3 linked regions of the Mus musculus genome follow. The protein of the gene in region 3 interacts with the protein of the main gene of each other region in a biochemical or structural test. Links are inferred from orthologs where the notes say so. Each region holds a gene or a part of one and is shown on either strand. Other genes may lie near its edges.

What was found.
Region 1: the proteins of Pafah1b1 (region 3) and Dcx form a complex in vitro, tested with the Homo sapiens proteins (2 studies listed by BioGRID). The link is inferred for Mus musculus from reciprocal best matches to the Homo sapiens genes PAFAH1B1 and DCX.
Region 2: the proteins of Pafah1b1 (region 3) and Ndel1 form a complex in vitro, tested with the Homo sapiens proteins (3 studies listed by BioGRID). The link is inferred for Mus musculus from reciprocal best matches to the Homo sapiens genes PAFAH1B1 and NDEL1.

Annotation. Positions count from the first base shown.
Region 1 is NC_000086.7:143,930,702-143,934,453, reverse strand, and holds the start of Dcx (neuronal migration protein doublecortin), read left to right. Parts: upstream 1-1,234; 5' UTR 1,235-1,384; exon of another isoform or gene 1,385-1,557; intron 1,558-3,127; 5' UTR 3,128-3,149; coding exon 3,150-3,513; intron 3,514-3,752. UniProt on the Homo sapiens protein: Microtubule-associated protein required for initial steps of neuronal dispersion and cortex lamination during cerebral cortex development. May act by competing with the putative neuronal protein kinase DCLK1 in binding to a target protein.
Region 2 is NC_000077.6:68,839,484-68,843,135, forward strand, and holds part of Ndel1 (nuclear distribution protein nudE-like 1), read right to left. Parts: intron 2,686-3,652; coding exon 2,537-2,685; intron 525-2,536; coding exon 388-524; intron 1-387. UniProt on the Homo sapiens protein: Required for organization of the cellular microtubule array and microtubule anchoring at the centrosome. May regulate microtubule organization at least in part by targeting the microtubule severing protein KATNA1 to the centrosome.
Region 3 is NC_000077.6:74,686,377-74,690,028, forward strand, and holds part of Pafah1b1 (platelet-activating factor acetylhydrolase IB subunit alpha), read right to left. Parts: intron 2,808-3,652; coding exon 2,601-2,807; intron 1-2,600. UniProt on the Homo sapiens protein: Regulatory subunit (beta subunit) of the cytosolic type I platelet-activating factor (PAF) acetylhydrolase (PAF-AH (I)), an enzyme that catalyzes the hydrolyze of the acetyl group at the sn-2 position of PAF and its analogs and participates in PAF inactivation.

The sequences.
Region 1 (3,752 bases), on a different chromosome or scaffold from region 3:
ATTTAGAAGGTAGTTTGACACCATGTCTATTGAGCCAAACAACAGTAATCAGTTTCTCCCTAGAGCCTATGACCTCCAAAGACATAGTAGCTTTTAACCAGTTGTATAGAACCAGAAGATTCCACTCTACGGACTAGACCTCAATTCCCAATCTTTAAAACACACTTCCCTTCTTAGGTGCTGCTTTCCCTTTTTTGATGTCTACACACACACACACACACACACACACACACACACACACACACACACACACACTATAAGCTAAAGTCCCATATGAAAGAAAGAAAATAAATCCTTTTGTCTCTCTCAGCCTCGGATACTTCACTCAGTATATCATTTTCGGTTCCACACAATTTCTTGCAAATCTCATAATTTCACATTTTACTGATGGGTGATTAAAATCATGCATATATCTTGCATTTTCATTACCCATTCATCTGTTAACAGACATCTGGGCTGTTTCTATTTTCTGGCTTTTGTGAATAGAGCAGCCATAAACACAGATATGCAAGTGTCTCTATGGTAGGTTATAGTCTCCTTTGGGTATATGCCCAGGAGTGGGAAGGTGAAACATTAACCAATGTTTTACATCAGTCTAAAATGTTTTGGAGTCATGCTGGGCCTAGAGACCTAAGTGCTGGCAAATTCTAGTAGCCAAGAAGCAGAACAGAGGCTGAAAATTTTCAGCAAATGAGAGGTCAGCCTGGGCTACACAGCGAGTTCCAGAACAACTATCACTATAAAGCTGGACCCTGACTCGATAAAACAACTGAACAAAAACTTGGAGAAGTGCCACTTTTCAATTCCAGCCTTCATGATTCCTGCAACTATTTTCCCGTGTACTGTCAATTTACTATTCCTGCTGACTTCGTTTAAAAAACAACCAGTGTTGGATGCATGAGCCGAAATGTTAAAAAATTTACATATTTTTTATTTTCTTTGAAGAAGATAAAAAGAGGAGATCTGTAATTTCTAAGAAACTTGATTTGGCCTGCTGAGTCCAGCCACTAGGCAGAAGGTTTTAGCCAAGTAAAATTGCCAATTTTCTAAGAGAAAGGGCTAGCACATTGCTCATTAGAGCATTCTGAGCTTGCCTGTGCAATCTTTTTTTTCCTACCCTGCAATTTCCTGTGCGTTATAAACGAAACCTTTCTAGCTGTTAATGCAGGCTGTGAATTGAAGAAAAAAAAGCATGTAATTAATCATAGGAGGTTGGGGGTGTTCGCTAAGCTTCAGTTACAGGGGAGAAGCTGGACAAGGCACTAGGACCTAGAAGGCAACTATCCACCCTGGCAGGAATTTCTTGCTTGGAGCTCAGACAACAAAGGCATAGAGAGATTGGTTTTCTTTCTCTCAGCATCTCCACCCAACCAGCAGAAAACCGGTGAGTGGGGCTTTCGAGTGATTTTCAAGCAGAATGTAACAGATGTCAACCGGGAAAGCACAAGGCACACGGCTTTCTTTCTCTGTGTGTTCGCCTCTTTCTTCTCTTTTATTTGCCTTATTCTATAGGATTTTTGTCCTCTAAGATTCTACCTGGGATTTTCCTTTGGAAAAGTGAGTTTGTTGTTCCTTTGTTTTCACTATGATGCTAATTTAGAATAATAGCACTTCTGATTCTAAAGCATAGCTTTATTTGCACAGCCTGCCTGGGGAAAATGCTTGCTACTCATCTTGAGGAGGTGGGCTCTTACTACTGCAGGTTGTCTGACAGAGACAATGCTGAGCTCAGCATAGGTCATGGTGACACTGGAAAAAAAGGGGGTACTGAGCCTGGCAAATATACCAACTACCAGTCCTCCTTTATCTCCTTTCTCCCTGGTTTCTTGCAAATCTCGATGTGGCAGTATATATATAGCAGCTGAGCCCTCTTGCTTTGTGAGTCTTTTTCCCCCCATTTGTGAGATGAATGTTAATAGTTTGGTTTCTTGGATGTCACATTACCTTTGTAAGGGGTTAGGGCTTTGGTTGTATTATTGGGTTGCATGTTTTCATTGTTTTGGACGTTTTTTTTTCTGGTGGGGGACGGGTTCAGGGGGGTTGAAATCCAAGCTTGACAGATGACTTTTTTTTTCCCTCCATCAATACACCTAAGCAATAGACAAGTTTGAAGTGAATTGCCTGCTTCGAGGGCAAAATATTCCTTCAGTCAGGGGAGAAACCCAGAACAATGAAAGGTGTACCTACTTGGAAAGGTCCCATGTGCTATTCAGGGACCCATTTGGGAATCTTTCCACAATTATTCCATTAAGAGGTGTTGCTGCATTCATTGGTCGGGGAGGGGATGAAACACCTGAAAGGAGAAAAAGGATTCTGTGATCAAATGGAAATGAAAGGGAAGCAGAGCTAATAGCTTGCTAAATAACTGGGTTTTTTCGACAATCCCTCCCCCTTTTAGACCCCAGCTTATTTCTTATGGATGCCGTATAGCGGCACCAGCTTGATGGGGAGAGGGTTTGATGAATAGCACAAAGGCACTGGGTATTCCCTGGAGGCTGTCCCTTTAAAAGAGAATCCTAGTTTATTCTGGGGGAGGGGATACACATATTAGAGCAGGCAAAAAAGGACAAGGAATAAAAGTAATTCACCCCCTTCCTAGCCATTGTATTGAGATGCAAAGGCTGCTTCCTACAGGAGGGTGCTAACCTTGGCTAGCTCCCTCTGTTTCTCTTTGAGGGAATTTAGTCAGGCTATGGATTCATTTACAACTGTTAGTCATGTGGCCATGTGTGAAGGAGCAGATGCCAGTTTTAATGTATTTTGCCCGAAGTTACAATTTGATAGGAGCCACTGTCAGGAAGCTCCAGGTTTTTAAGCTATTTCAACACGCCCTCCCCAAATTGGAACAGTGCCAAAAGTGCCACCCTTTCTATCTCTTCCTCCTATCCCCCTCCCCACCATTCAGTCCTCAGCCTACTGCCCAGCCCCCTCCTTCTTCTCTATTAAGATCAATATTCCTGCAGGTCAGGGACAAGCAGCAGATGGGTCACAGGCTTTTTTCAACCAGTTCTTTTCACAGGCAGCAGATTGCAGCTCTGGATCTGGCTAATATTTTAATTCTCCCCCCTCCCTTATCCATCCTTATTCTTTGCCTCTCCTTATCTCCACCCTTTTCTCTAACAATCAGGTTGCTGTGGTTCCACCAAAATATGGAACTTGATTTTGGACATTTTGACGAACGAGACAAAGCATCTAGAAATATGAGAGGGTCACGGATGAATGGACTTCCAAGTCCCACTCATAGTGCCCACTGTAGCTTCTACAGAACCAGAACCTTGCAGGCATTAAGTAATGAGAAGAAGGCCAAGAAGGTACGTTTCTACCGCAATGGGGACCGTTACTTCAAGGGGATTGTGTACGCTGTTTCTTCTGACCGTTTTCGTAGTTTTGATGCGTTGCTGGCTGACCTGACCCGATCCTTGTCTGACAACATTAACCTGCCTCAGGGAGTGCGCTACATTTATACCATTGACGGATCCAGGAAGATTGGAAGCATGGATGAACTGGAAGAAGGTAATTCAAGTAGTGAGTAGTGGGGTGGTGGCCCCTAGAGGGAAAGGACATCCTCGCTTATGGTTACATTTTTAGTCTTCCTTGAAAGAAACTAGGCTATTTGTTTGCTAAAACATCAAGTTGACTGATGCTCAGGCTTCTGATCCCAAAGTCACCACCAGGATCCTTAACTGTCATTCCTCATGGGGTTCCATCTCTGCTGAGGTTGACATGAATATGGGTTTTCTAATGCTAAATGT
Region 2 (3,652 bases), about 5.8 Mb from region 3:
ATGTAAATAACGAGTTATTTAAATACAATTAATAAGGAGAAAAATCCCAACTGAGAGCAGTACAACAGTGAAAAAGCTCCAACTCTCTGTGCCTCCTTCTGTTCACCTATAACATGGAGGTTCTACCTACTCCTCAGCACTGATGCTATGGGTATGAGATAATTGACCAGGTTAAAAGCACTTGGCACAACGATTGAAAGCTATGTAAAAGCATATAGAACTAGAGCTTCCGAGAAACTGAGGGCTGGAACACAGCTCAGGAGCAGAGTGCTTACCCAATTGCTCAAGCTCCGGGGTGACCCCTAGCACCATCAGAGGGGTTAGTCAGTCCTTGTGCTTACTCAGGCACAGGCAATGGGTAAACACTGGCTAAGTGATAGAGCTTACCTCTGGCTTCATCCTTTAACCTCTGTACTGAGACCAACAAAGATTCCTTTTCATCGAGCTCACTTTCTAAGAATGCATTTCGTTCAATGGCCTGATTTAGCCTTTGTTCAAAGTCTTCCAGTGAAACTATTGTTGCCCTTTAAAAAAAAATTATTTGAAGCCCATGAATTAAACAGCATGTTCAAACAGCTAGTACAAAAGAAAGCAATCAGTTTATCTCCTGCCATTCTTAACCCAGTCAGCCTGACCCAATTTGGAGAATGACTTCACTTCAGTCAGCAAAAATTAACACGGACCTACTCTTGTGGGCTCCCATTCCCTGGTATCTGCTACAAATACAAAATTCTCCAACCTAAAATTACAACTCAGAATACCAATTCCAATCTTTTTTTAAGACTGATTGATTTTATGGATATGAGTACATGTAGCAGTCTTTGGACACACCTATCAGGGCATCAGACCCCATCACAGACGGCTGTGAGCCACTATGTGGGTGCTGCGAATTGAATTCAGAACCTCTGCAAGAGCAGTCAGCACTTTTGCTGAGCAGTTTCTAGAGCCCTAAAATAACTCTCCCCCCCCACCCCCCGAAACAGGGTTTCTCTGTGTAGCCCTGGCTGTCCTGGAACTCACTTTGAAGACCAGGCTGGCCTCGAACTCAGAAATTTGCCTGCCTCTGCCTCCCAAGTGCTGGGATTAAAGGCGTGCGCCACCACTGCCCGGCCCTAAAATAACCTCTTTTTTTTTTTTTTTTTTTTTTTTAAGATTTATTTATTTATTATATGTAAGTACACTGTAGTTGTCTTCAGATACACCAGAAGAGGGCACCAGATCTCATTACGGGTGGTTGTGAGCCACCATGTGGTTGCTGGGATTTGAACTTCAGACCTTCGGAAGAGCAGTCGGGTGCCCTTACCCACTGAGCCATCTCACCAGCCCTCTTTTTTTTTTTTTTAAGATTTATTTATTATTATATATAAGTATACTGTAGCTGACTTCAGACACACCCTAAAATAACCTTTTTTTTTTAAGATGTAATTATTATTATACATAAGTACACTGTAGCGGACTTCAGACATTGTAGCTGACTTCAGACACACCAGAAGGCGGCGTCAAATCTTATTATGGATGGTTGTGAGCCACCATGTGGTTGCTGGGATTTGAACTCAGGACCTTCGGAAGAGCAGTCAGTGCTCTTAACCACTGAGCCATCTCTCCAGCCCCTAAAATAACCTCTTAATAACATACGTCAAACACCTTCTCGCCTCTCAGCCTTTTCACTGTCTCTTCGCCTAGTTAGTCTTTGCAGACATGCCCCAACTTGTAAAAAGGCTTCCTCGGTTCCCACAGATACTAGAGCTGCTCTAGAACAGGCTATACATTCTTCTTACCAGAGCTTTTATCAGAGCAAGCCTCTTATGGATCAGCTACAAGGACAGTGACTAGCATCATGTCAACCAAGAGTCAATCAATAAGTATAAAAGAAAAATACTAGGCAATAATTATAAAGTAGTATGAGTTAGAGTGGTTAAGAAAAAATAACAGAGGGCTGGAGAGATGCCTCAGCAGTTAAGAGCACTGATTGCTTTTCCGGAGGTCCTGAGTTCAATTCCCAGCAACCACATGGTGGCTCACAACAATCTGTAATGAGATCTGACGCCCTCTTCTGGTGTTTCTGAAGACAGCTACAGTGTACTTACATATAATAATAAATCTTTAGGCCGGAATGAGCGGGACCAACAGGAACAAACCGGGCCAGAGAGAGCAGAGGTCCTGAGTTCTATTCCCAGCAACCACATGATGGCTCACAACCACCTGTACAGCTACAGTGTACTCATATACATTAAATAAATAAATAAATCTGAGAAGAGAAGAGAAGAGAGGAGAGGAGAGGAGAGGAGAGGAGAGGAGAGGAGAGGAGAGGAGAGGAGAGGAGAGGAGAGGAGAGACACTCTAGAGGCAGAGGCAGGCAGATCTCTGAGTTCAAGATCCACCTGCTTCAGTCTCCCATGTTGTTTTGTTTCGTTTCCTTTAAATCCAATGAGTGACAAAGGACATAAGACACTGAAGGAGAAACGGGTTGCTAAGACGCATGTGAAAGCTTGAGCTGACAACTGGGTATGCTCATAGAATGCACAGCATCCTTTACCTTTTTGCTCGCTCCAGGTCATCATTGGCCTGCTCCAGCTCTCTCACATACTTATGCAGTTGCTCCTTAATGGCCCGGGTCTGACTTAAATCATCTTCTAACACTGAGACCTGCTTGTAGCTCTGTGCATACTGATGCTCTAGTTTCTCCTGAAAGAAGAGGTACAGAGAAAGATGTGTTATTAATATGTAATCATCTATTAATAAAGGAATTTCCCTGCCAGGCTAGATGTGCCCACTAATGCAATAACAGTATGAAGGTTAAAGGTGTAACCAACCACTTTTGGATTGAATCTGAGGCTGCCTTATGGAAGGGAATTCATGCCTGGTCTTGTAAACCAGGTCAAAGGTCACAGGCCATATTGAGGGACCTGTTTACAGGATTTTTTGCTAACCAATGTCTATCTGCCTAAACATGTGTTTATACCCATAGATCAGTACTGCCTTCAGCACTGGCCAGAGCAAGACTGAGTGCTCAGCCCTAAAGGGGACATCTCTAACACCACTATCCTATCCCACCAACAAGGCTCAGGAAACACCACAGAGACAGTGCAAAGAATGTAAGAACTAAAGGATGAGAAAGAGTTCTGTAAAATATTTAAAATGTTGTCTTCTGGATACAACATGGCCCTTGCAATCACTAAAAAGCTATAGTTACCTAAACAAGACCTATATAAGAGCAAGCTAACAAGATTAGTTAACATTACAACAGACAGAATTGTACTCACCGGGTTACAGGAGAGAAAAAGAGACAAGGCATAGGGGACCATGTTGAGAGGAGGAAGAGGGGGAAACTAGGGGTGGACGTGGTAATACATTATTTACATGAAATGGTCAAAGAATATAAAAGATATTGTTTTATTTTAAAACCATACTCTATTTCTAAAAGGAAGGAAATACTCTCCTAAGCCTCCAAGTCATAGATGTAGAGAAGAACGGAGCCCAGGGCCATGCACGTGTCAGGCAAACATCTGCCAACCACTGACCCATCCCTGGGGCCTGACAACTCCTTTCTGAAGATTTCTAACCCCAATTAACTCCAAAACTCAAGAAGCTATGAATACAAAAAAGAGAGGAAAGGAATGCATGTGTCATGTAAATATAATTTTAAGAGAGT
Region 3 (3,652 bases):
GACTTAAGGTCTCAATTTTACTAGAGTATTAAGAGTTCAGATACTAAGAGGACTAAGGAGAAATCATAAACTATAAACTATCCCTGAATCAAGTGCTCATGATTAACCAAAACACCTTTTCCAAGACAGGATTCCTCTGTGTAGCCTTGGCTGTCCTGGAATGAACTTTGAAGACCAGGCTGGCCTATAACTGAGAAATTCACCTGCCTCTACCTATGGAGTGCTAGGATTAAAGGTGTGTGCTACCACACCCAGCTTTAAAAAGTCTCATTCTTAGAAGACATTTTTTTTCCTTTTCCATTTTTTATTAGGTATTTAGCTCATTTACATTTCCAATGCTATACCAAAAGTCCCCCATACCCACCCACCCCCACTCCCCTACCCACCCACTCCCCCTTTTTGGCCCTGCCGTCCCCCTGTACTGGGGCCTTAGAAGACATTTTTAGTAAAACAGAAATTATGAATTAACATGAATGAATATTACAGATATCACTCAGGAATACTCTTTGCTCTGGTGGCCAAATCATAGTCTGTTATAAATAATTTTTAAAAATAATGATTTTTGCACTTGTTTCACATGCAACAAGTATTAGGTTCAATTCAATCTCTAACAACTCAGGAAAACATTAAAAATCCAAACAAAAACAACAGCCACAAACAGAAATAGAAAGAAAAAAAATTGAATACTGATTCCGTGCTCTAAACTCAGTTTAGACCACTCTACCTACAGTGGGCACAATTTTAAATGTCATAGGGAATACACACACACACACACACACACACACACAAAAATTTGGAGAAATAGATAATATTTTAAAAAAATGCCTAGGCAATACATTAAAGAGCCACCATAAAGGATCTGAGAACCAAACACTGATCCTCTGTAAGAACAGCAAGTGCTTTTAATGGCTAAGCCATCTTCTCCAGCCCACATTTTAAAAACTTAATCTAAATAGTCAACGTAAGACTGATTAACTAGGCCTGGTGGTTCATGCCTTTAATCCCAGGACTCAGGAGTCAGAGGTAGGCAGGTAGACTGCTTTGAGATCTAAGTCAGCTTGGTGTACAAAGAAAATCCAAGACAGCCAGGGCTTGTTACAGAGAAACCATGTCTCAAAAAAATGAAACCAAAATAAACAGATCCCAGAAGACAAAAAATATATATATAAATAAATGAAACCAAAATAAAAAAATTGAAAGAACTGATGAGCAAATATAAAAACTATAAGTAAATTCTAGTATGTATACAATATGAAAGATACAGATTTATCTTTTTTTGGGGGGGTTATTTTTTATTTTTTTATTTTTTGGTTTTTCGAGACAGGGTTTCTCTGTATAGCCCTGGCTGTCCTGGAACTAACTTTGTAGACCAGGCTGGCCTCAAACTCAGAAATCCAACCTGCTGCCTGCCCCTGCCTTCCAAGTGCTGGGATTAAAGGCGTGCGCCACCACGCCTGGCCCAGATTTATATCTTTTTTTTTTTTTTTTTTAAAAGATTTATTTATTATTATTATATCTAAGTACACTGTAGCTGTCTTCAGATACACCAGAAGAGGGCATCAGATCTCATTACAGATGGTTGTGAGCCACCATGTGGTTGCTGGGATTTGAACTCAGGACCTTCGGAAGAGAAGTCGGTGCTCTTAACCACTGAGCCATCTCTCCAGCCCCAGATTTATATCTTATACCACAACAATGTAAAGTATTTTTCTTAATTTTATTTTTGTTGTTTTGAGACAAAGTCTCATTATCTAGATCATGTTGGCCTTAAACTGAGATGTTTGCCTCTGCCTCATAAGAGATAGAACTAAAGGTGTACAGTATGTGCCCAGCCAGAATTTTTTTTTGTTTTTTGTTTTTTGTTTTTTTTTAAAGCAGTCTTGCTAGTAGCTTAAGCTATTTCATGAACCATCTGTTTCACTTTGGAGTGCTGGGCACATTATCACGATAAGCTCTAAACAAATAAAACCTTTAACTTCAATCATATATTCAAGCATATCTACATGAAAGCGATAACTGTGTGTTTAATTCTGTGCTTGCTTAGCTAGATTTATCCCGAAGTATATCAGGGGGTTATTTTTATTTTATGAGACAGGGCTTCAGGTAGCCTAGGCTAACCTCAAATTTGCTATATAGCTGCTAATGAACTTGAATTCATTCTTTCTTATTTATTTAGTTATTTATTTAATGTATAGGAGTACAACATTGCTCTCTTCAGACACACCAGAAAAGGGCATCAGATCCCATTACAGATATAGTTGTGAGCCACCATGTGCTTGCTGGGAATTGAACTCAGGACCACTGGAAGAACAGTCTGTGCTCTTAACCACTGAGCCACCTCCTTATTTTCAAAATTTTCAAAATCTTTTCTGTCACCTAACTTACATCAAGTCTGCCTTTCAGAGAAATTTACCTTACTTTAATCACATCATTTACTAGGCAAAGGTAGGAGAATTTCTCTGAGTTCAAAGTCAGTCTGACAGTCAAGACTACATAGAAAAAAAGATCATGTCTCTCAAAACAAAACAAAATTAAAACAAAAACCAAAAAAACAAAAACCACAAAACAAAAAGCAAAATGAACAAATGAAAAGAACTTGCCTTAATTGTAGCATCCTCTGAAGCAGAGACCATAACACTGAACACAGGATGGAAAATGACTCGAGTAACTGGACTCCTATGACCACTCAATGCGTATTTCTCAGGTGGACGGGGAATCCATTCTTTTGGGTCCCGTTTCTGACCAAGAGGACCACCCGACGTAAATTCTTCTTTTGCTTCATTTAGTTTTGATTCTAATTCCATTACCTTGAGAGGGAACATGAAGTTAAACAAAGTTGTGTTTTATAATATATTTGGGTTTTTTTCCCTTTTAGGTAGGCTGTGACTATGAAGCTTACGGTAGTCCAGAACTTAGGATCTTCCTGTCTCAGTTCCCACAGGCTGGAGTTACTATGCCCAGCTGGAACTAATCCACCCAGACAACTTTCATTTACATTTATTAATAAAGATGATCATAACACTTACCTTGCTTGATTTACGCCTGTAATTTTTAGAGTTTTTTCCCCTATACCACAGTTTATTATTTATCCTACAGGTAGTAATATTCACAACAAAAGCTAATATTTACTGAGCATCTACTAGGTGTTAGTTCTTGTCCACAAGCTTGGTATAGTTGGGCTCACATTAGAACAATGTTGTCTACTCTAACTTTGTCTGTGAAGAGTATTTTAGAAATGGAATAGTATGTTACTTTCATCTTATATATTAAAGAAACAAACAAACAAACAAAAAACAAACCAAAAACCTCAGAGATGAGACTGACTCATGTAAGACACATAGTGATCTTTTTTCAGTTACAACTAAGTTATAACTTCCGAGGCATTGGTTCTCAACCTTTCTAACACTTTGACCATACACATCCTTGTATTGTGGTGACCCCCAATTATAAAATTACTTTTGTTGCTACTTCATAAGTGTAATTTTCCTACTGTTAATGAATTATAATGTAAATATCTGATAATACAAAAAGTATCTAATGTTTAACCCCAAAGGGGTGCAGTGCAACACACAATGAGAAGCACTGTTCTAAGAACATAAATGATGTCTTAAGTATCAACTTCTTAGTAAAGACAATGCAGGTCTAATCTCTA